Linked DNA regions of Saccharomyces cerevisiae S288C. Changing the gene in region 2 together with the main gene of any one other region gives a genetic interaction. Each region holds a gene or a part of one and is shown on either strand. Other genes may lie near its edges. The genes, in order: ARG80, PMT5 and EMI2.

What was found.
Region 1: mutations in PMT5 (region 2) and ARG80 together harm fitness more than expected from each alone (negative genetic interaction), as found in Saccharomyces cerevisiae (one large-scale study listed by BioGRID).
Region 3: mutations in PMT5 (region 2) and EMI2 together harm fitness more than expected from each alone (negative genetic interaction), as found in Saccharomyces cerevisiae (one large-scale study listed by BioGRID).

Annotation. Positions count from the first base shown.
Region 1 is NC_001145.3:346,238-353,636, forward strand, and holds ARG80 (Arg80p), read left to right. Parts: upstream 1-6,365; coding exon 6,366-6,899; downstream 6,900-7,399. Other genes in the region: stress-responsive transcriptional activator MSN2, read right to left, coding at 1-280; copper chaperone CCS1, read right to left, coding at 1,274-2,023; chromatin-binding transcription coactivator SUB1, read right to left, coding at 2,407-3,285; YET2 (Yet2p), read left to right, coding at 4,144-4,626; D-arabinose 1-dehydrogenase (NAD(P)(+)) ARA2, read right to left, coding at 4,729-5,736. UniProt on the Saccharomyces cerevisiae protein: With ARG81, ARG82 and MCM1, coordinates the expression of arginine anabolic and catabolic genes in response to arginine.
Region 2 is NC_001136.10:285,562-291,628, reverse strand, and holds the start of PMT5 (putative dolichyl-phosphate-mannose-protein mannosyltransferase PMT5), read right to left. Parts: upstream 1,721-6,067; coding exon 1-1,720. Other genes in the region: dolichyl-phosphate-mannose-protein mannosyltransferase PMT1, read right to left, coding at 2,117-4,570; proteasome regulatory particle lid subunit RPN6, read left to right, coding at 4,934-6,067. UniProt on the Saccharomyces cerevisiae protein: Protein O-mannosyltransferase involved in O-glycosylation which is essential for cell wall rigidity. Forms a heterodimeric complex with PMT3 and more rarely with PMT2 to transfer mannose from Dol-P-mannose to Ser or Thr residues on proteins.
Region 3 is NC_001136.10:1,472,480-1,480,690, reverse strand, and holds EMI2 (putative glucokinase), read left to right. Parts: upstream 1-4,214; coding exon 4,215-5,717; downstream 5,718-8,211. Other genes in the region: peptidylprolyl isomerase family protein FPR2, read right to left, coding at 1-266; protein disulfide isomerase EUG1, read right to left, coding at 530-2,083; GRH1 (Grh1p), read right to left, coding at 2,334-3,452; SLF1 (Slf1p), read right to left, coding at 5,919-7,262; YDR514C (uncharacterized protein), read left to right, coding at 7,692-8,211. UniProt on the Saccharomyces cerevisiae protein: Putative glucokinase involved in phosphorylation of aldohexoses and glucose uptake. Involved in sporulation. Required for the full activation of the early meiotic inducer IME1.

The DNA.
Region 1 (7,399 bases), on a different chromosome or scaffold from region 2:
TCAAATGCAAGCTGTTATCGGTAGTGGATGGTATCGTTTCCGTTACGGGCAGTGGAGAGTCGAAAGATAGTGGAGGAAGCCCCAAATTCAGTGAAGTTTCTTGATTTTGAATGTCATTGAGATCCGCACTATCTAAGACAGTGTTTTTGATATCTAGAGAATACGGGATAACATCGTTGTTAATATTATTTGGGTTATTATTCTCCACGTATTGTATACTACTCATGCTTTCTATGGGGAATAAAATATCTTCGCTATTGAAATCATGGTCGACCGTCATTTTAGATCTAGTTCTTCTATGAGCAATAAAAGTTGAAAAAAGAAAGAAAAAATAAAGCAAATAAAACCAAAGAAAAAAAGGTAGCCTCTTGGCGTATGAAATACCTTGCTACTACTGTTGTGATCTTCCCGAAAAATATGAGGAAGATACCGATAAAGTAAGGAAGAAAAAAGCAATATCTTTTTTTTTTTGAACTTTTCGTATTACAGACTAGTTTCTGTTATCTCCAAGGTTTCCGTCTGTTTTATTTTCGTGTAACACAGTTTCTAACTGGGAAGTCTTGTTGAGCTCGTGCTGCTTTCTTACTATTACCAAACAGGAAGGCAAAAAAAGGGAACACGGTTTACGCGATAAAAGTAAAAGGGCCAAGTCTGACTGGTGCTGATATCAGGCAACAAACACCACTTTGTTCTGCTATTTGTCTTTATTACCTGTCTCTTTCGCTGGAAACAACAAATATAAATAAGTAAGTGTCAATACTATATGTTGTCTGTAGAGGGGAAATTGTATATATTTTCGGTGTCTTGTTTTTCTTTTCCGCAGTTTGTTTTTCCCATTCTGATTTTCTGAAATTCGTAAAAAGGTGTTTTTTTCGTATAAATGGCTCTCTTTAATTTATTAGAGACAAAAAGAGCCGATATGTATGACGTAGACAGATGGTGTCAAGAACCGGCTTGGCTGCTACGGAATGCGTAGCTGAACGCCGTGGTTTCCGGAGAAAGACGAAAGATCAACTCCGGCCGTCTGGCCAGGAACGATAGGTGCTGGAGATAAGTGAGGTACGGATACCAAGAGCGAAATACCTCTTTAGGTACGTTCCGGGCCGTTGTTGCCGGCGAAACCGGAGGGACAAGGCAATATGAAGTAGGATTGGAAACCGGCTTTGGCATATTGCCACATGCGTATGTACATGTCCGGCATCACGTGGTTATGATGTAGTATACTATATTATGTTATATCTGTATTACGCTACGTTGTGCTATCTTGGATGTTCTATTTGATGTTGTTGGCCAAGGCATCTTTTCTCTCTTCCCAAACAGTCTTTCCGGTACACGCACACACTTGTTTATTATTTTCCCACACACCAGCGCTTCTCGCAATGACTCCCAGAAATGAGTAGTCCTTAACGGAGGAAGGCTCGTTTTCTGGGTGGTTCAGAGACTTGGAAATGACAAAGCTGCGGCCGATAAGTTGCCATGTTGGCAAGGGAGCGCTCAGAAAGGTCTTCCCACTGTACAAGTTCTTGCCCAAATCACTCTCGTTGAAGCATTCAATGGGTTCGTCGAACTTGTGCCAAACTTTACCAGTAGATTCCACGCCCTTGGAGACGTCGCCTTTCTCGTGAATGCTGGCGTGGTAATTTCCCGCCTCTGGGACGCCATTTACAGTGATGTCAAAAAGAGTCTTATTCTCTCCAACCTGAACGATTCTTGCTAGGCCCCTCACGGCGGTGTCCTTTTTCTGGTCTATAGTATATTTTTGAAAGGTCTCTAAGATAGCGACCGCGGAAGAATTCGGCTTCCCGGCGCCTCTTATGATGGCGTCTTTACCACAGTTTCGCAAGGTGTTGATGATGGTTGAAGGGGCTACTGAGCTTTCCACGCTCATTATTTGTTGCTCTATATCGAAATTCAATGAATTGATTCCTGGGACATTTTTTAGGCATGCCTTTATATCATTCACGCAATTTTCACAGTGCATGGGAATGGCATAAGTAGCCTCGTATGTATCGTTCGTGGTCATTTTTGTGCTGATCGAATGGGTTTCTGCCTTGCAAAGATATCTTTATTCTTTTCTTAGTCTAAATTTTTTTTTTTTGGCTTGCCTTTAATATATTATTTTTCCGAACAATGAATTTTTACCCTCTTCCATTCTCACTGTGTACTAGTTGTACGGGGAAAATGCTTAGTAAGCGCAAATTTTTTTTTGATAGTATATTATACTGAAATGTACAAGATTAACTTTTGTCTGGTTATTATAAATCACATATTTGATTATATGAATTGTTAAAATGAATTTGACAAACAGAAAAGTATATATTTTTATTTCTTTTTTTTTTTTTTTATTCTCTAATAAGCTCGTTGGATGGAAGACGTTGACATAAGCAAGCTCAACTTCCAGGACTATTATTCTTCTTCACTTATGTCGTCTTCAGCCTTGTTCATTTCAGCTTCCAAGCTTTGAGCAAATTCTTCGTCACTAGAATTTGCATCTTTTGACTCGTTTATGTTGGAGACAATATCTTCTTTTTTAGCTTGAAGTGTGGGTACAGGTTCAGGTTCAGGTTCAGCTATCTTTTCTTTTGCCTTTGCCTCTTTCTCTTGTTCTGCAACTGCTTTTGCCTTTGCCTCCTCTGCCTCTTCTTTTTCCTTTTGCTTGCGTTCCTCTTGTTGTTTCCTACCTGCCTGGCCTGGGATGATCAAAGTAGCATTGGCTTCTCTTTCAGCGTTTTGAATGTTTTCCTCGTGTGGAAGTAGAGTAGGTGGAGCAGGTTTCTTCTTCTTTGAACGTGGCTCCAAGTCATGACTCTCATTAGATGCTTTGGACTTATCTTCTCTCCTCTTCTTTGGGCTGTTCTTGTCCTTCCCGTTTTTATCCTTGTCGTTATTAGTACTGTCATTATTGTTATCATCTTCATATTCGTCGTCGGACAATAGTCTAACCATTTTGGTTTTTGGTCTCTTGGATCCTAGCCTTCTCAAGGCTTCATCAATATTCAATCTGTGCTTAAGCAATTCGTCGTATAGATCTTCTGTCAACGAAATACCTTTCTTCCCAGGTTTCATTTCGCCTGTAGATGAGTCCAGATAGTACTCACGGATATCAATTAAATTTATGTTTCTAAATTGTCTTACCGTGACCCTCTTATTTTTACCCAGATCAAAAATTGCATCTGATGCGGATAGTCCAGATGGCATACCACCATTGTTATTGTTACTGTTACTTAAGTTTCCTCCACCATTATCGCTTCTTCTTTTGTTCCTATACCTGTTGTAATATGACATAGCGCTTGTGTTTGTATATATGTCGAAAAATTGATGTGTACGGAAAGATTTAATATTAAATAGCTTTCTTAAGTGGGCAACCAAAAGTGTTTCTTTGATTGGGGACTTTTACAAAATTCACGTTTACAACCTCTTCTCTTGTCTTCCTATCGTTCCCTGGATCAAATTAAGAATTTTCATCAAGAATAGAGAGCAGAAGGCAAGCCAAGAGAGAAAAAGAAAGAGAGAAAGAAAGAAAGGAGAGGAAGAGGAGATGAAAAGAGAGGAAAACTTGAGTTTTGATAAAGAAATTTGAGGAAGGTAAAAGTAAAATTCCCATTCAAATGAATGTATTAATAAATTCTCATCATTAAAAGGAGGGAAAAATTACGTATAACGTAAAGATAAAACGTGTGTGTGTGCAGTGCTATACTCATTGTCCTTGTTAGTGATGATAATTCGTCCCAGCTGAAAAAACTCAAAATAAGTATTACCCGGATCGAGGCTGTGGCATTTAGCGCCGCTGTCTTGACCATCCACCAATGGTTGATAATAACATCGGATGATCAGCCCATTTTTGGTGTATTACTATCCCATCTCATTCTTCCAAAAAACACGTATATATCATTGACGAGATCGAGATACGTCTGCTGTGTTTAACGGCTAACTTGGTTGTGTAGGCTTGTGTCAATTAGGCAAAATGGTTTTCTTGGAAAAAAGACAAGGGAAAAAAAAGGGTTGATAGAGCAATATATGTACAGCTGGCCTTCTCTGAGAAAAGCTAGCCGCCTGGAAGTAAATAAATACGCTGAGTGTTCGTTGGAGCATGAATTATGTGAATAGAAAAATACTAAGCAAAATTTCAAAGTCGAGTTAGTGATGGGTGTTTATTTGGCAGTACTCTTTTCGTTACTGGTCATCGAAATGGCCATTCTGTTTATTTTGGTACTTCCGCTTCCACAGCGTATGAGAAGGTGGCTGTATATACGCTACAGTATCATAAGTACTAATAAGAAATTCAGAACTTATATGGTTGGAATCATGATCTTCGTTGGTCTTTTGTTCATCGATTCATGGAAAAGGTCACAGATCAGAGTGTCTACGTACCGCAACCAGAAAAATCCCTATATAATAAATAGTGTAACCCCAGTGGATGCACTGGCTTCAAGGGCATATAACCAAAGGAATGTTTACATTTCAGGCTTCATCATCTACTTTTATATATGTATACTCACCGTGATGAGTATATTGCGAAGAATAGTGGAATGGAATGACAAAATGAAGGCTGGAGATGACATTCTGAAGGAAAAGTTAAGACGAAAGCAAAAATATTTAGAGGAATTGCAGAAGAAGAAATTTTAAAAGGAAAAAACTAAAAAAGAAGAAAAGGAAAAACTTACATATGTAAATAGAACAAATGAATATAAACTAAAATTTGACAAATTTTTTTTCTTTTTGGGGTGATTATATCATTTCTGGATGAGGAATACCTGAAGACCACTCTTCATTAAAATGTTCTTTAAAAATATTCTTTTGGATATATTCTACTAGTTGTCCGTCCTTAGAAGATAATCTGTTGCCATTCGATTTCACAATTTCGTAATTATCCAGAGCAAGTTTCAATTCTTCCATGCTACTGACTCCAAGAACAACGGGTCCCTTTCCTACCCATTCCGAAATCGCGTATCTTGTGGCCAAATCGGCTAAGTCGACATTTTGTTCTTGACAGTATTTGGCAGCCTGAGATGCGCATTCTCTCAATTCATGAGAACACGGGTGAAACTGTCTTGTCTCCTGTGACCTTAGTAGCGACATGCTCAAGATTGATGCGTTGCAAACCATTTTCAGTTTAGCATTGCGTAGCAGTCTTTCTCGAAAGTTCAATAGCTTATTGTTTTGTAAGTTCAAGTTACAATAGGACAATACTGCATCCAATGACCCAATATCACTTTCCTCGGTAGAGCAGTACTCAGCAAGCCAGGTGATAAAGTCGATTGGGTAGCCTGATATGCCAAAATTTTTGATAACTCCTTTGTTCTTCAAGGTCCTCAATTCCTTTAATGCCTCTAAGATGTCTGGAAATTTGACAAACTCGACATCGTGCAAGTACACCAAATCGAGATATGTAGTGTGTAATCTTTCGCACGATCTGTGAACACTAAATCTCACGAAATCTCTAGAATAGTTAAACTCTTCCGCACCAATACGCCCAACCTTTGTGCATATAAAATAAGTGTCTCTGGGAAATTCATTCCTTAAATTGGACAGTGCCCTACCATAAAGAACCTCACTAGGGCCATAGTAGGGAGAAGTGTCAATTGCATTGATACCATGCGAAAATGCGTATTTGATTATGTCTTCCAGTGGAATGGATTCTGGCTCATCTGTATATTGCTGGTTCAGTATTGCACCTCCTAAGACTAAAGGAGAAACCGAAGCTAAGTCGAATGGATTCACTTTTTCATTAACCATCTTATAGTCTCCGTTGTTACTCTTTTATTTATGTGTACTCTTCCTTCCTGTTAACAGAGTAGATAAATATAGGCTTTAAACTTACCGTGTACTGAAACCCAGAAGGCAGCTTTCTTTTTTCCAGAAAGTAAAATAATGACAAAAAAATCGACTACATATGCACAATGCTAAGTTATATGACACTTTCTTTCTTATCCTCACTTATCCATAAGACACCCCTCTTCTTCAGAGAATTTGGTAAGCAATTTCATGTATTTCCATGAGAATGGGCTCGCATCCCAGAGCGCAACTAATATATGAATATAAGCGGATTTAGCTCAGTTGGGAGAGCGCCAGACTGAAGAAATACTTCGGTCAAGTTATCTGGAGGTCCTGTGTTCGATCCACAGAATTCGCATTAATTTTTTTTTACTTTTCATTCGTTTTCCTCTTTTGGTGATGAGCAGCATCACAGAAGCGGGTGGGTCATCCATTATTAGACGGTAAGTGAAAAAAATTTGATGATTCAGGTGAACCGCTATGGAAAGGCACGTAGTTCTACTTACTCCTAGCAAGTAGCTATGCGATTTTCCTGCGCCATTTTTTTTCCCACATTAGTTACATACACTCTCTAAAGAATATTGCTAAATATGACGTCGAATAGCGACGGTTCAAGTACCAGTCCAGTTGAGAAACCAATTACCGGCGATGTTGAAACTAATGAACCTACCAAACCAATACGGCGGCTTTCAACGCCATCGCCAGAACAAGATCAAGAAGGCGATTTCGACGAAGAAGACGATGATGACAAATTCAGCGTGAGCACATCAACTCCCACCCCAACCATAACGAAAACTAAGGACAGCAGCGACACAAGTACGGTTACGAGGCGGAAGCAGCCGATCAGGTACATCGAGAATAAGACCCGGAGACATGTCACCTTCTCGAAGAGGCGGCACGGGATCATGAAAAAAGCATATGAGCTCTCCGTCCTAACCGGCGCCAATATTCTGCTTCTAATTCTGGCAAACTCTGGCCTGGTCTACACTTTCACAACGCCTAAGCTCGAGCCGGTGGTACGGGAAGACGAGGGTAAGAGCCTCATCAGGGCATGCATCAATGCTTCAGACACTCCTGACGCTACCGACACGTCGCCGGCACAGGAACAATCTCCGGCAAACTGAACATGCGAGAGTAAGAGATGCCCCACGAAGGCATAGGCAGATCCATATAGCACAATACGCGCATATAAAGTAGCATTGCTGCCAAAGGGGGTTGCACAAGGAGTTGCCCTCCTTCGGCACGCGGCTCGGAACATACCGGAGTGTCCCCCTTTGAGTAATTTTTCTCAAAAGAGGCACTTTTGCGCTGGGCCGCAGGAAATTTCCCTTTCTGTTCAGCACCTGTTGTCCTATATTAAGCTGTGCCAAACAAGGTCATCTCCAAATACTTACCAAAAAGCTAGGGCGTACTGTACTGGAATCTCTGCTTTTTTCTTTACCTTACTTCAATTTGCCTTGTCTGCTTTTTTACGTGTGTTTTGGCGTTTCTGCTTTTCTTTTTTATTACTCGTTGTTGTAAATCATTTTCTAAGTATTATACATACTATATCATCGCATACCCAATCGGTTTCCTATTCTCACCACTTTTTTCTGGAAAAATACATAGCCTAACAAGCAATTTT
Region 2 (6,067 bases):
CATTTTCATTCCAAAAATCAATACCACGCAACATAAGAGGCCAAGTCTTTGGTTCAGATGAGTAGGCATGACTAGTATCCATATAATTGTTAAGGTAGAACATGAACTTGTGGATAGCAACAAACTTCTGCCAAAAGCTCATTTTCTTATAAGAAACCTTCTCTGGATTTGGCAAAGAAATTTCGTTTTCGTTTTCTTCAATATACCATGAAGTTAAGTCTTCCCTTGCAAAGTATGCACACGTAACTTCCTGCTGCCCGAATCCCCACTCAGGTAGCTTTTCAGGATGTGAAAATAAGTAACAACCAGTTAGATAATGCTTCAGCCTAAATTTGGTTTCAATAGCCCTAATATGTTCCTGGGCAGGTCCCGGCTCTGATCTCTTTTTATCGATTTCAATTATCCAATCATCATTTATATCACCTTCGAAGCCCTCGTATCCATAACATGACACCTCTTTTTGCCAATCCGCATTTTGAGAAACTGGAGGTTTGTGGTCATGTGAGTGTAACCTGCAGCCGTTCTTAAGCTGTCTTAATTTAATTATGGTACCGTCGGTTAAATTTTGGAAACTTGTGACATTTTCATTTGGATGTTCAGCCAGCTCAATAATCCATTTGTTATTTTGGTCGATGTGAGGATACAAAGTAACTTGTTGTTGCATGGAACCAGCCGGATAATTGTGAAGATGAGAATGCAAGTAACCACCTGCCGTTCCAACATGATTCAGTGAAACAGCGGAACCCACTGCAACTTCTGCCACAGTCTCTTTAATAACGTTGTTGTATTTTAAAGTTTTTCTAAACTCAGCGGGAAAAAAGCTACTACTAATACCATTCACGTTTAATGTCTTAATATGCACGCTGAAAATGAGAAAATAGATGAAGGCAGGAATAGCTAATAGACAGGTAAACTGGAACGCCATATATTTGATAGAAGAACCAATGGGTCTTGACAAATCACCAATCATGAACCATACTCTCCAAAGGACAATAATACCAGCCCATGCGATGGTGAAGAGGCCAGCCCATTTTGAAGAAACTGCAAATCCCAATGCAATGCTCGCAGCAAGTAATGACTTGTTTGCTTTACATGAATTTGGCAAATAAAGTTCCGATCTTCTAAAGAAATAAACTGCACATGCCATGAAAAAAACAAAGGGTCCCTCTATCAAGGTGAAACGAGACAACGTTACAAAGGAGTTTTCAATTGCAAAACATACTGCACAAATGGCAGCTACCGCAATTTTCACGCCAGAAACTCGTAACGTTAAGTATAATACCAAAACGGACACGATGCCCAAAGTAGCAGAAAAGAACCTCATCGCGACGTATGGAACGTTTGCCGTGTATTCAGTACCAATGTTCCCATAATTGAAAAGCCCTTTATAACCAAAAACAGAGGACACGGTTGCATATAGCATTGCCACTAAAGGAGGATGAACATCGGTGAAGAATATGTTGTTCACGTATTGAGAAACAAATGTACCAACTTCATTTTCACCAAAAACAACACTATTTGGCAGGGAGATATTGTGTAGCCTTACGATGGCAGTAAATATCAGCAAACAGCCAACTAGAAGCTTTTCCTTAGATGAAGTAACTGTTCGTAATGAACTCAAATTATCACAGGGTTTTGTTATGAGAAAAGACCTCAAAGGGCCGCGTTTAATAGTCACATCGGGGATGGGATCCACCTTCAGCAAATGCTCTTTATTCATCTTTAAAGCAGTTATGATCTTACACACCTGCTTAATTGTTAAATCAATAAGAATATTTTCGAAAAAGAAGAAAAGAAACGGGTCTATGCATAATATGTACTACGCTTCTGTTCCTTTTCTATTGTTCTCGAATGCCTATTCGATAGACTTTTCGCGGCACGTAAACGAGTTCTTGGAAAAAAAACGGTGCGAAATGATAATACCACTGAAACTACTTGCAGATCATACTTATTTGAGCGAAATAGAATACGTGTCTCTAAACGCAGATGGACAATATAGTCAGCTTCAAGACATTTTTTTTATTCATGATGTTTTTTTTGTCTATTTTCGTTTTTAATTATACGCTCGAGAGCTTATAGAAGACTTTACATAAAAATGTGGAGAGTACTGGGAAATTTATTCCAAAACAGCCCTTTTTTCTACTTTTAAAATGTTAGCTCCCTCCTCTTCCAACATTTTTTTGACAACTTCTGGATCTAGTTCATTACCTTCTGTGTCTTTAAAGATTTTCTTGCCATCCTCGTTCATGAGATCTTCATACGACGGACCGTCCCCTTCTATAGTGATTTCTTCAACTGTACTAGTGGCGGCAGGTTGAGATTCACGTTTAGTCAAGGTTTGGTTTTTGTACTCTTCTAATGAAGAAAAGTATGTGTTACAATTGTAGTCCCAACCAGACAACCACTGCGATTTTTGACACAATTCTTGAGTCCATGGTGTACCGTAAATAATTGGACTGAAGCTCTTGAAGAAATACACAGAAGCAGCAAGGAAAGTGATCACTACCGCGTAGCCCATTTGTCTCTTGCTGCGGAAAACATAAGAAACTATTATGTCCAAGGCGTGGCCAAGGGCAAGAATACCGAAATAATAAGCAGGTAAGTAGTGATGCAAAAACATTTGACGTTGCATTAAGAAAGATGGAGCATAATGGACGGCAAAACCCAATAAGTAGTGAATAACCTGAACGTGGAAGTTAACAACCTTGGAGTCCTTCAAAATTGGTTTACCTAACTGCCACGAGAACAGCTCAGTGATAACAATCAATCCGAAAATACCGATGAAAGCGGTGACAGCCCACCATACGATCGCATTACCTAATAGATAGACGTTTCTGTTATTTTCACCCCAGTAACTTATACCACGTAGCAAGAATGGCCATGAAGTTGGTTGTGATTCATAAACATGAGGTTCGACCAAATTTTTATTGATATGCCACATCTTTTTATGGGATTCAATAAATTTAGAAATGAAGCTTGCAGGTTTATAGGAAATACGCTTGGTATCTTCTGGTAACAATGGGTTACTGTTGTTCTCAACGTACCACAATGTTAAATCATGTCTACCGGAGGAGGCACAGGTAACTTCTTGTTGTTCGAACCCCCAAGCTGGCAACTTGACTTCGTGGGAAAACAAATAACAGCCTGTCATAGCATGTCTCAATCTAAACTTTGTGTCCAAAGCTATGACCCGTTCTTGGGCAACTCCAGGAGCAGAATTCTTTTTATCAATCTCAACAACCCAGTCATCATTAGCATCACCGTCGAATCCGCTGTAACCATAACAAGAAACCTCCTTCTGCCAGTCGCTGCTTTCTGAAACGGGTGGCTTATGGTCATGAGAGTGTAATCTACATCTTGTAACAGTGTGGAATAGTCTGACCTTGGTACCATCGGTTAGGTTTTGGAATGTTGTTAAAGATTCGCCGGGTGCGTTGTAAAGTTCCAACAACCAATCGTTATTGGCATCCATGTGAGGATATAAAGTGCTTTGTTGTTGTTCCGAACCAGCTGGATAATTGTGTGAATGAGAATGCAAATAACCGCCCATGGTAGAGAGATGACGCAAGCTGATAATGGAGCCAATGCCGACATCAGCAACGACATTTTGGGGGATCTTATTGTTCTTTAGTGTAGATCTAAATTCAGGCGAAAAGAAGCTTGCGCCATCCCCGTCCAAAGTTAATGATTGGAAGTGGATATAAAAGAAGACCAGATAAAGGGCAAAAGGCACACCCAACAAGAAGGCCAATTTGGCAAATGCTACTTTGAAGATGGACTTGGAAGACTTAGTCAAATCCCCAATCATGAACCATAGTCTCCAGATACATAAAAGACCCACCCATGTAACCGTGAAAAGACCAACCCATTTGGATGAAGATGCCATACCAAGAGCAATACCAGTAGCAAGCAAGGACTTGTAAGCATTGAGCGAGTTGGCAGGGTACATTTCGTATTTCTTGAAAGAGTAGACTGCAGCTGCAATGAAAAACATCAATGGGGCGTCCAACAGAATGTAACGAGAAATAGTGACGTACGAGTTTTCAACGGCAAAGCAGATAGCGCTCATCAAAGCAACCCACATACGAACACCAGAATAACGTAAAGTCATGTACATCAAAATAACAGTAAGAGCCCCCAAAGAAGCAGAGAAAAATCTCATCAACACGTATGGCGTCGTAGATGGAAAGCTGTCACCAATATTTTCGAAGTCAAAATCACCCTGGAACCCACCAAGCGATGCCACACCAGCATACAACATCTTTGCAAGAGGAGGATGCACATCCATGAAGTAAGTCCCCCTAATGTATTGCGAGGCAAACCCACCGAAATGTACTTCATCAAACACCACGCTGTCAGGCCATGCCAAGCCATGCAATCTAATGACCGCTGTAAAGACAGCAAGACAGGCCACTAACAGCTTCTCTTTAAGAGTGACCATGGTTCGTAACGAGGCCAATTCGGCACTCGGATCGGTAACAATAAAGGGTCTTACGGGGCCCTGCTTGATATCCAGTTCGGGCACGGGATCATCCTGCTCTACACGTTTGTACGTTTTCTCTTCCGACATGACCGTGCTTGTAGCTGTTAGCTGTTTCTTGATAGGCTCTTCTGATACTACCTCGCTTTAACAATGCACCTGTTTGTCTTGTTTTGCTGCTCGAAAATAATCAAGATCTGCTTAGAAACGCCAAACTCTTCTTCGACACGTGTCGAGAAAAAAAACGCAGCGAAAAAAAAAAAAAAGGTATATCATCACAATATACGATATAAATGGGCAGGGCAACCCCGAATGATGTATATTCTCTTCTGGTTCCAAGGGTGGCAAATGTTGGTAGAAAGCGTAATTGAAGCAAAGATCCGTTAAATAAGGCCAACTAACAGAAGCGCTGAAAGAGGACAATTGGTGATTAATCTATAAACGAGGAACTTCATGTCTCTGCCAGGTTCGAAATTAGAAGAGGCCAGGAGACTGGTTAATGAAAAACAGTATAATGAGGCAGAACAAGTCTATTTGAGCCTGCTGGATAAAGACAGCTCACAGAGCAGCGCCGCTGCCGGTGCCAGTGTGGATGACAAGCGTAGAAATGAACAGGAGACAAGCATATTGGAATTAGGACAGTTATACGTGACTATGGGTGCAAAGGACAAATTGCGCGAGTTTATTCCTCATTCTACGGAGTATATGATGCAATTTGCCAAATCCAAAACGGTAAAGGTATTGAAAACGTTGATTGAAAAATTCGAGCAAGTGCCGGACTCCTTGGACGATCAGATCTTTGTGTGCGAGAAAAGCATCGAATTTGCCAAGAGAGAAAAAAGGGTGTTTTTGAAGCATTCACTCTCGATCAAATTGGCCACCTTACATTATCAAAAGAAACAGTACAAGGACTCATTAGCATTGATTAACGATCTTTTGAGGGAGTTCAAAAAGCTGGACGACAAGCCCTCTTTGGTTGATGTACATCTATTGGAAAGTAAAGTTTACCATAAACTGAGGAATCTAGCCAAGTCCAAGGCCTCGTTGACTGCAGCAAGGACGGCCGCTAACTCCATATACTGTCCTACACAAACAGTTGCGGAGCTGGACTTGATGAGTGGTATCCTGCACTGTGAAGATAAAGACTACAAAACTGCATTTTCGTATTTCTTCGAAAGTTTTGAAAGCTACCACAATTTGACTACGCATAATTCCTACGAAAAGGCATGTCAAGTGTTGAAATACATGCTATTGTCTAAGATCATGCTGAACCTTATTGATGACGTAAAAAACATCCTAAACGCAAAATACACAAAGGAAACGTACCAGTCCCGAGGCATTGATGCCATGAAAGCTGTCGCTGAGGCTTATAACAACAGATCGCTTTTAGACTTCAACACGGCGCTAAAGCAATACGAGAAGGAACTAATGGGCGATGAACTAACAAGATCCCATTTCAATGCATTATACGACACGTTATTAGAGTCCAATTTGTGTAAGATTATTGAGCCATTTGAATGTGTGGAAATATCCCACATTTCCAAAATAATCGGTCTGGATACTCAACAAGTTGAAGGAAAGCTCTCC
Region 3 (8,211 bases), 1.2 Mb from region 2:
GCAACACCTTGATCCCAACCTTTAATTACTCTGCCAACGCCAAGTTCAAAAGCGATAGGAGAGCCTCTTGAATAACTTGAGTCAAATACAGTTCCCGATTCTAATAAAGATCCTGTATAATGAACCTTAACTTTATCACCTGGCATTGCCTTAATTAAGCAATCTTCTACCGGTATTCTCTTGATAATACCGATTTCCAAATCTGACAGGGAACCTGCAAGAATGGTGGAAAAAAAAGTGACGAAAAGGTAAATATTAAACATCATCGAGACTCAATTACTGTAAACTAGAATGTGATTGAAAACGAAAGCACTCCTTTTTCTCTTCTTAGGGTTATAGTAATGGGTCTCATATAAACCTGTATTTGAAGATGCGCTGGCAGTAATGCTAAATCTCTTCAAGAGCATAAACGGGTAACTGGTGAGAATAATCGTGATGCCATAAATAACGAATATTAGCTATTTTCTTCCAGAAACGATGCGAGTAATCAGATGTTAAAAATGTGCATTATATATGCTTTATTTATTGATTATAATTCATCATGTACGGTATCTTCAGTAGACACTTCAGAATCCTTGGCCTGGTGCAATTTATCATAAATTGCCTGGCCGTCAATGTGATGTGTACCTGATTCCTTGATAAATTCGAAAACATCTTCCAAATTTCTAATTTTATTGAAGATAATAGGCTTAGAGTTATTTCCGGCAGGATACAAAGCAATGGTTGGATATCCTGTCACAGGAAAACTTAAGATATCATTTGCCCCTGAATCTACTTCGGCGATCAAGATTTTATCGCGAACAGATTCATCAGATGCTAAGACATTTGCAATTTCTTCGTAAATAGGCGCAAACCTTTTACTATGAATACACCATGTCGCGTAATATTTGACAAGGACATCCTTGTCATCATCATGAACAATGTCGTCATGTGTCTTCCCAACTATTTTATAAACATTGGACTTTTGTTCTTTTGGAATCTCTTCTGACTTAACAATTGGCTTGGCAGTACCTTCACGGTAATCTTTTACCAACTGAACGATCATATCTCTGTCTAGTGGTTGTGGTTTTTCTAATTTCGCGTACTCTTCTTCTGGTAGTTGTGGTAAACCATATTTCAGATTATTGATCATATTATGGATAGCAAATAATGGGAACTGTTCTCTCATATTTAGGAATCTAACGTGGTGTGGGAACATTGTAGAGTTTAATGCAATGAAATTTATTTGGCCACGATTTTCCTTACCTAACTGCGTGAAAAGATCAGTGTAATCTTCCAATTCTTCCTCAGAAGTATAAAAGAAGTAAGCCAACGGCAAATTGCTAGAAATGTACTTGGGGAAGAGATCAGGTTCGATGTCGGTAAAGTAAGGTAAAATTACCACTTTTAACCACTGAGTTAGAGCAACGGAATTTCCGACCAAAGAGTCTACATTTCCATCAAACAGAATTGGTTCTGTAGTGTTTGGCAAGTGGATTGATAATGACTTATCTTCTGAATCTAGAAGGGATAAAAAGACGTAATCCTCAGCAAGGTCCAGTGCGACTTCTTGATACGTTTCATTCAAGCCTGTCAAGCCTCTGTTTATTACTACTGGTAAAGTTGCATTTTCCAAGTATGGTTGGATTTCATCTTCGGAATTTAAATAAATGACAGAAGCCTCGTATAGCTGAATCATGTACTGAGTGATTTCATCGGTGATCTTGACACCGCGATAGACTTGACCATCAAAAATACGACCATTTTTAAAGATTTTCAAGGTTGGGTAGGTATTTATAGTTTGTTGCAGGCAAACCATACTGTTAGCCTCACAATCAATTTGAACAACTGGGACGTTATGCTCCTTTAAAATAGAGGCGGCCTCTTCTAAGTGAGGGCGTAAGATCTGAGAATGCAAACACCATGGAGCAAAAAACTCGACGAGGACTAACGGATGAGATTCGATGAATGATTTAAATTTCTTCTCTGTTAGAACGAGTAAATCTGATCCCGGCGTAGCTCTTGCGCTGTTTTCAGCCAACGTGAAAGAAGCAAACAGGCAAAACGAGACTATCGCAGATATAAATCTTGTGGTCACTTGCATGGTATTATATGAGCGGGTGCTTGTTGGGAGATTGCCATATAATTGAAACGTCAAGTCTTGGAAATTGAAACTTTCTGAATGCTAAAATATCTATTGTCTTAACAAAAAAGGACACGCGTGCCTTTGAAAAAAAGTCTCGGTACTTTTCGTACATTGCCAACTATCGTTTACGTGTTTTGAAGGGAAAGCAAGCTTATATATATATATTTAATTTTGCTATGAAACAAAACCAAAAGACTAACCAGGAAAGTTAATCAGAGGATGACTGTTTTTGTGGTGGTGGGGCGAGGATGTCAGATTCTGCTGACTTCGCAGCGGTAGATGACTTATCTCTGCCTTCATTAAAATAGTCATCCATTGCCAATGGCTGGGTACCCTTTTTATTTTTTGATTTCTTCTTTGTTGGCACCGGTGGTGCTGTGAATGCTGATGGCACAAAAGCCGTCTCAGATTCTACTGGAACAGGAACAGGAACAGGGTTGTCATCTTGCCCCTGCTGCTGTGCTTGTTGTGGACAGTGCTTTACTGTTGGAATCCTGTGAAGAAACCCGTATCCAACGTTGCAACCCAACCTGCCGTCGGGACCTATATGAACTGTGATTGGTCTCACACAGTCAGAAACTTTGTTGTAGACATAAAGGACCAGATCGTAGTTTGCTCTTGATCTAACAATATCTTGTAAAAGCGTCTCCCCTCCCGTGGCCAACAGGCCATCTTGGCAGCCGATAATGTAGTCTTCATCTGGGATGAGCCCTGCCGATTGGGCGGGTCCATCTGGGATGTTCACGTTCAGGATATGGTATGTGAAAGTGGAAGCTATCAAAGGCGTCCATTGGACTTTGAACCCGAGTGCTTGGAACTGGTGCGCTTCCCCACTAGATGGCCTCCTCTCGTCATGGTTTAGAGAAACATCGTCCAAATCGTCGCTCTCCTTCGATATAATGCTGATATACTCGTCTCTGAACGTGCCTCCTTTAGCTGACCATATGTTGACCTTCAAAGTTCGGCCACAGTGTTCATTGAAGATGGATGTGATACGACGGTAATCTGGGTACGAAAATCCGTGTTGATTACTGACCACCGGCACCGGATCATCATTGAAACCTACTATATAGTCGAAAAAGGACTGCAGTTGGAACTGCATCTCGTCCACCCAAACAATGCGGAGACCGGAAAGCGTTTCATTGACGTTGGTGTGCTTAACACCTTCAGAAACCGCATCTACGGGTGATTCCAACTGAGCAGACAACAAATTTGGTGGTATAGACTGAAAGAAAGCGTCCAGATTGCTCGAGTCCTGCGAGAGTGCCAGGGTATCTTGCACGCTCTGCTCAAAAGTCCGTACGAGGTTTTTAGCTATTCTAAACATAGTTCTTCTTCCTATACCTTTTTACTTCCCTAGTTTCGCACGCTGTGTCGGTCGCAGTTACAGTAGTAGTCTCAGCACCCCTGTTCTTGGTCCTGATCCCGTTGCGACAAGCCCATTTCTTTTATGATAGCCAAAATGCAACTAAACCTCGTCGTCGTCGGCTTGCGTGTCCGCCGCGAAGACAGAAAAATAACGAAACGAACTTAATAGAAACGACCTAGATTTTATTTGGAAGCCAGCCCGATGCTATCTTCAAAATGGCTGTCACTGGGTGCAAAGGCGGTGGGAGAGCCCATTAAGTAATTTAATCGGGTTGTCTCACCAATGTTAGCCACAACGCAACGCTACGTCGCCACTCTGGCAGCCACCGCAACGAGCAGTAGCAACTACTTTCGGGTGGGCCCTTCAGGGGTAGTTGCCTGCGTCTTTGTTCGAAGAATCAAGTGACAAAAAACGCGGGGCATCCAGAAAGTCTTTTTGTGTGTGTCGTCGAAAGGGAAAGTGAGAGAGTGAGAGTGAATTAGTGTTTGTGTGTGTGGAAGACAGAGGAAGAAGATCGGGTCGTCGAATTCTATTATGCTTGCGATGCAGGGGGGGGAAACATGTATTCGGGATTATATAAAGTCGATTCTGTGTAAGTGTAAAATCTCATCTTGTCTCGTGTTCTTTTGTACGTCTCATACTTATAGGAAGTTTAAATAGAAACAGATATCAGTGTATCAAGGAAGAATTGTACAAGAATCGAATCATAGATACACAGTAATGTCATTTGAAAATTTACATAAAGTCAATGCTGAGGCATTGGAAGATGCAGTGGTTGAGATCTGCTCCTCATTGCAGGTTGATGCAGCAAAGTTGGACGAACTAACAGCGTACTTCATTGAATGTATGGAAAAGGGGTTGAATAACACCTCTGTAGGCGAAGAAAAGACGGTGGACAAGGGTCTACCCATGATCCCTACATATGTAACCAGTTTGCCCAATGGGACGGAACGTGGTGTTTTGCTGGCTGCAGATTTAGGTGGGACTCACTTCAGAGTGTGTTCTGTGACTTTGAATGGTGACGGAACCTTTGATATGCAGCAATTGAAGTCTAAGATTCCGGAAGAATATCTAAATGACAAGGATGTCACCAGCGAGGAGCTGTTTAGCTACCTGGGTCGCCGTACAAGGGCCTTCGTTAGGAAGCATCATCCTGAGTTGTTGAAGTCCACGGGGGAGAACATAAAACCTTTGAAAATGGGATTTACCTTCTCATATCCCGTTGACCAAACCTCTTTGAGTTCCGGTACTTTAATCAGATGGACCAAAAGCTTCAAGATTGAAGACACGGTCGGCAAGGATGTCGTGAGGTTATACCAGGAGCAATTAGACATTCAGGGGCTCTCTATGATTAATGTGGTAGCTTTGACCAACGACACGGTTGGCACTTTCCTATCCCACTGCTACACTTCAGGCTCTCGTCCATCGAGTGCTGGTGAGATTAGCGAGCCTGTCATTGGTTGTATCTTTGGTACTGGTACTAACGGTTGCTATATGGAGGATATTGAAAACATCAAGAAGCTACCAGATGAGCTCAGAACAAGACTGCTGCATGAAGGAAAAACCCAAATGTGCATCAACATCGAATGGGGTTCTTTCGACAATGAATTGAAACATTTGTCTGCTACAAAGTATGACATCGATATTGACCAAAAATTTTCTCCAAATCCAGGTTACCATCTATTTGAAAAAAGAATTTCCGGCATGTACTTGGGTGAGCTGTTAAGGAACATCCTGGTGGACTTGCATGCAAGGGGCTTAATCTTGGGACAGTATCGTAATTACGATCAATTACCTCACCGTTTAAAGACTCCTTTCCAATTGTGCAGTGAAGTTCTTTCCAGGATTGAAATCGATGATTCGACAAACTTGCGTGAAACTGAATTGTCGTTTTTGCAGAGTTTGAGGCTACCGACCACTTTTGAAGAACGTAAAGCAATTCAAAATCTGGTCCGTTCCATTACGAGAAGGTCTGCATATCTAGCAGCCGTTCCGATTGCCGCCATCCTAATCAAGACAAACGCTTTGAACAAAAGATATCACGGTGAGGTAGAAATTGGTTTTGACGGTTATGTCATCGAATACTATCCTGGATTCAGATCCATGCTGAGACATGCTTTGGCATTAAGTCCAATTGGCACTGAGGGTGAACGTAAGATACATTTGCGTCTAGCCAAAGATGGGTCCGGTGTTGGCGCAGCTTTGTGTGCTCTGGTGGCATAAAACATATCTGTTCTTAACAGCTTATTTTTAGTTTGTTTTCGTTTTCCTCTATATAAATATCTTATGTATCTGTTATATAAAAAATTATTTAGTACGAATTGAAATGAAATGTTATGTTATATTTTTAGAGAGAATCTGCTATTACTTTATACATGTTAACTATATACATAATAAAAAAAAAAAAAAAAATATTGTCTAAAATTAATCATTTATTTGTAAGTTTTGTTCAAACTGCCTGCTAATTTCACCTTGGTCATAGCTCTGACTCTTTTTCCCATTTTCATTACTGGGAAAGAAGTTTGGATAGCCCATATAAGAATAATTGTCTAAATCGTTCGGTCCCAATAGTTTCTCAATGTTGTATTTTTCAGTTTCGTCATCATTTTCATCAAAATTACTTTCCATAGCGTATTCAGCCCAATTTTCGCGCCTAATAAAATAGTTTTCCAATGGATTGAAATCATCTGCCATGTTCTTCTGAGCACCTTCTATGCTTCCAAGGGCAATTTCCAAATGGTTTGTTTCTTTATGTTGTAAAACTTCTCTCATAGATGCCAAAATTAAATTTGGGTCTCCACCAAGAGATAAATTAACCATACGGTAAAATTTCCCTATCAAACTCATGGGGATAAATCCGTCATTGGCTTTTTTGAATTTAGATCTTAAAAATTCATCTGTTTTCAAGTTCTCTTCACTAAAATAGAATTCAATTTGGTTTTTGATACTTTCGATAGATTTAAAAATAGGTTCCATTGAGTAATAATATGGTGTTTGCAATTGTTGTTGATAGTTGATGTTATTATAATACTGCTGTTGACGGAAGTATGACAGTTGTTTATAGCTATTTCTTGAATTGTTGTTCAACCAGTGGCTGGCATTGGGAATATATTCAGGTCTAGCCTGATAATTATTTGGGAAGGAGATGGCATTATTAGCCGCCTGACTGTGTCTACTATTGTTGTTGTATCTTGTTTTGCCATTCCTGTTTTGATAATTTCTTGATTGTCTACCGTTGGTTGAATTGTTGTTGTTTGTTATCCTCTTTATATTCCCATTGGCAGTTGCTCCTGAGCTTGAATGTATGTTTACTTTAGCGTTAGCATCTAAAGGTTTGGATTCAAGATTGGAAACGTTACTTATTTCCGATGTACTGTTGGTTTGACCGTTAAAGTCCTTTTTATTGATATCGTTATTATATTTGCCACGCTTTTTCATTTTTTTATTAGTCTTAGAATTTTTAGAGTTCTTTCCTGACTTTGAATTTGTGTCCTTGGAACCTGAGATTATAACAGACGGCGTAATTGGAGTCCATTTGGTATTGCTTGTTAATTTAATTGACCCCGAACCATTTTTACTTGGCTTTGCAGTCTTTGATATATCTCTTAGTTCCTCTACAGGAATTACTGTATTGCTATCTGGCGAAGATGATTTCCATGGCGATGTGGTTGGTATTGGTGCCAACTTTAAGGATGAAGTTTGTTTCTTCTTATCTTCAGCTGCTGAGGATGTATTTTTTGGATTATCATTGAGGTTTTGCGATGACATTTTTGAATTCACTTTATGATTGATTTTCTTTATCTTGGTTATATTTTTGGGCTCTCTCGTTTATTTAACGCCACCCTAAATTGTGTCTTAACAATACGCTTCCTCTCAGTATTTTTTTTTAAATAAAAAAATATGATAGAACTGCTGAACACTACTTTTTAAAACCTTTTAATAAATAGACAAGTGTCAACCAAGGATGTGCCAATTTTCCTTTGTGATTCAGCTGCGCTTGTATGTGCTTCCAGCTTTACTTTTACTAATTTTTTCATAAGCACAAAATAGTAAGATCTTTTTTCTCTTGGCGGTGAAAAATTTTGATTCGATGGATCAATAACATACTGCAAAAAACGGTTTGAGGACATATGAATACTGCATTTACTAGTAATTTGCCTAGTATATAGTTTGACTACACAGATTATAAGCTATTGTATGAGTAGCTCCACAAAGTGCAAGAAAGCATACGAAGCGGTAGTCAAAATGGTTACGCATAGATTCAACTCCAAAGCAGTCCGCAATTACCATCAACCACAAGGTTTAAACAGGAGTCTGGCAACCCGCAATGCAGCTAGAGTTAGGGGTATGGTCCCTTCAAGAAGAGGGGGCGTGGGACTGTATAAGAGTTCAAGTAGCAAGTTGATGAATAAACTAGGAAGACAAAAGACATGGATAAATGAGTTTGAACATTTTAATTCTCTGCACGAAATTGCATATACCCCTAACATTGCGTTAAGTAGTGAAATCCAAAAATATTTAAAGGCATTGGAAACAAACTATCGGTCCATCTATGAGAAAAGTTCAGAATTACTGGATAAGAAGCTGGAAGAAATTGACAAGAAATGGATAGAGAAAAACGGGTGTATACCTGATGCATCTAAAGACGATGTGGAGAAAAATCTAAGAAAGCAATATTTAGCAGATGTACAGGACGTAAAAAACGAACATATACCTG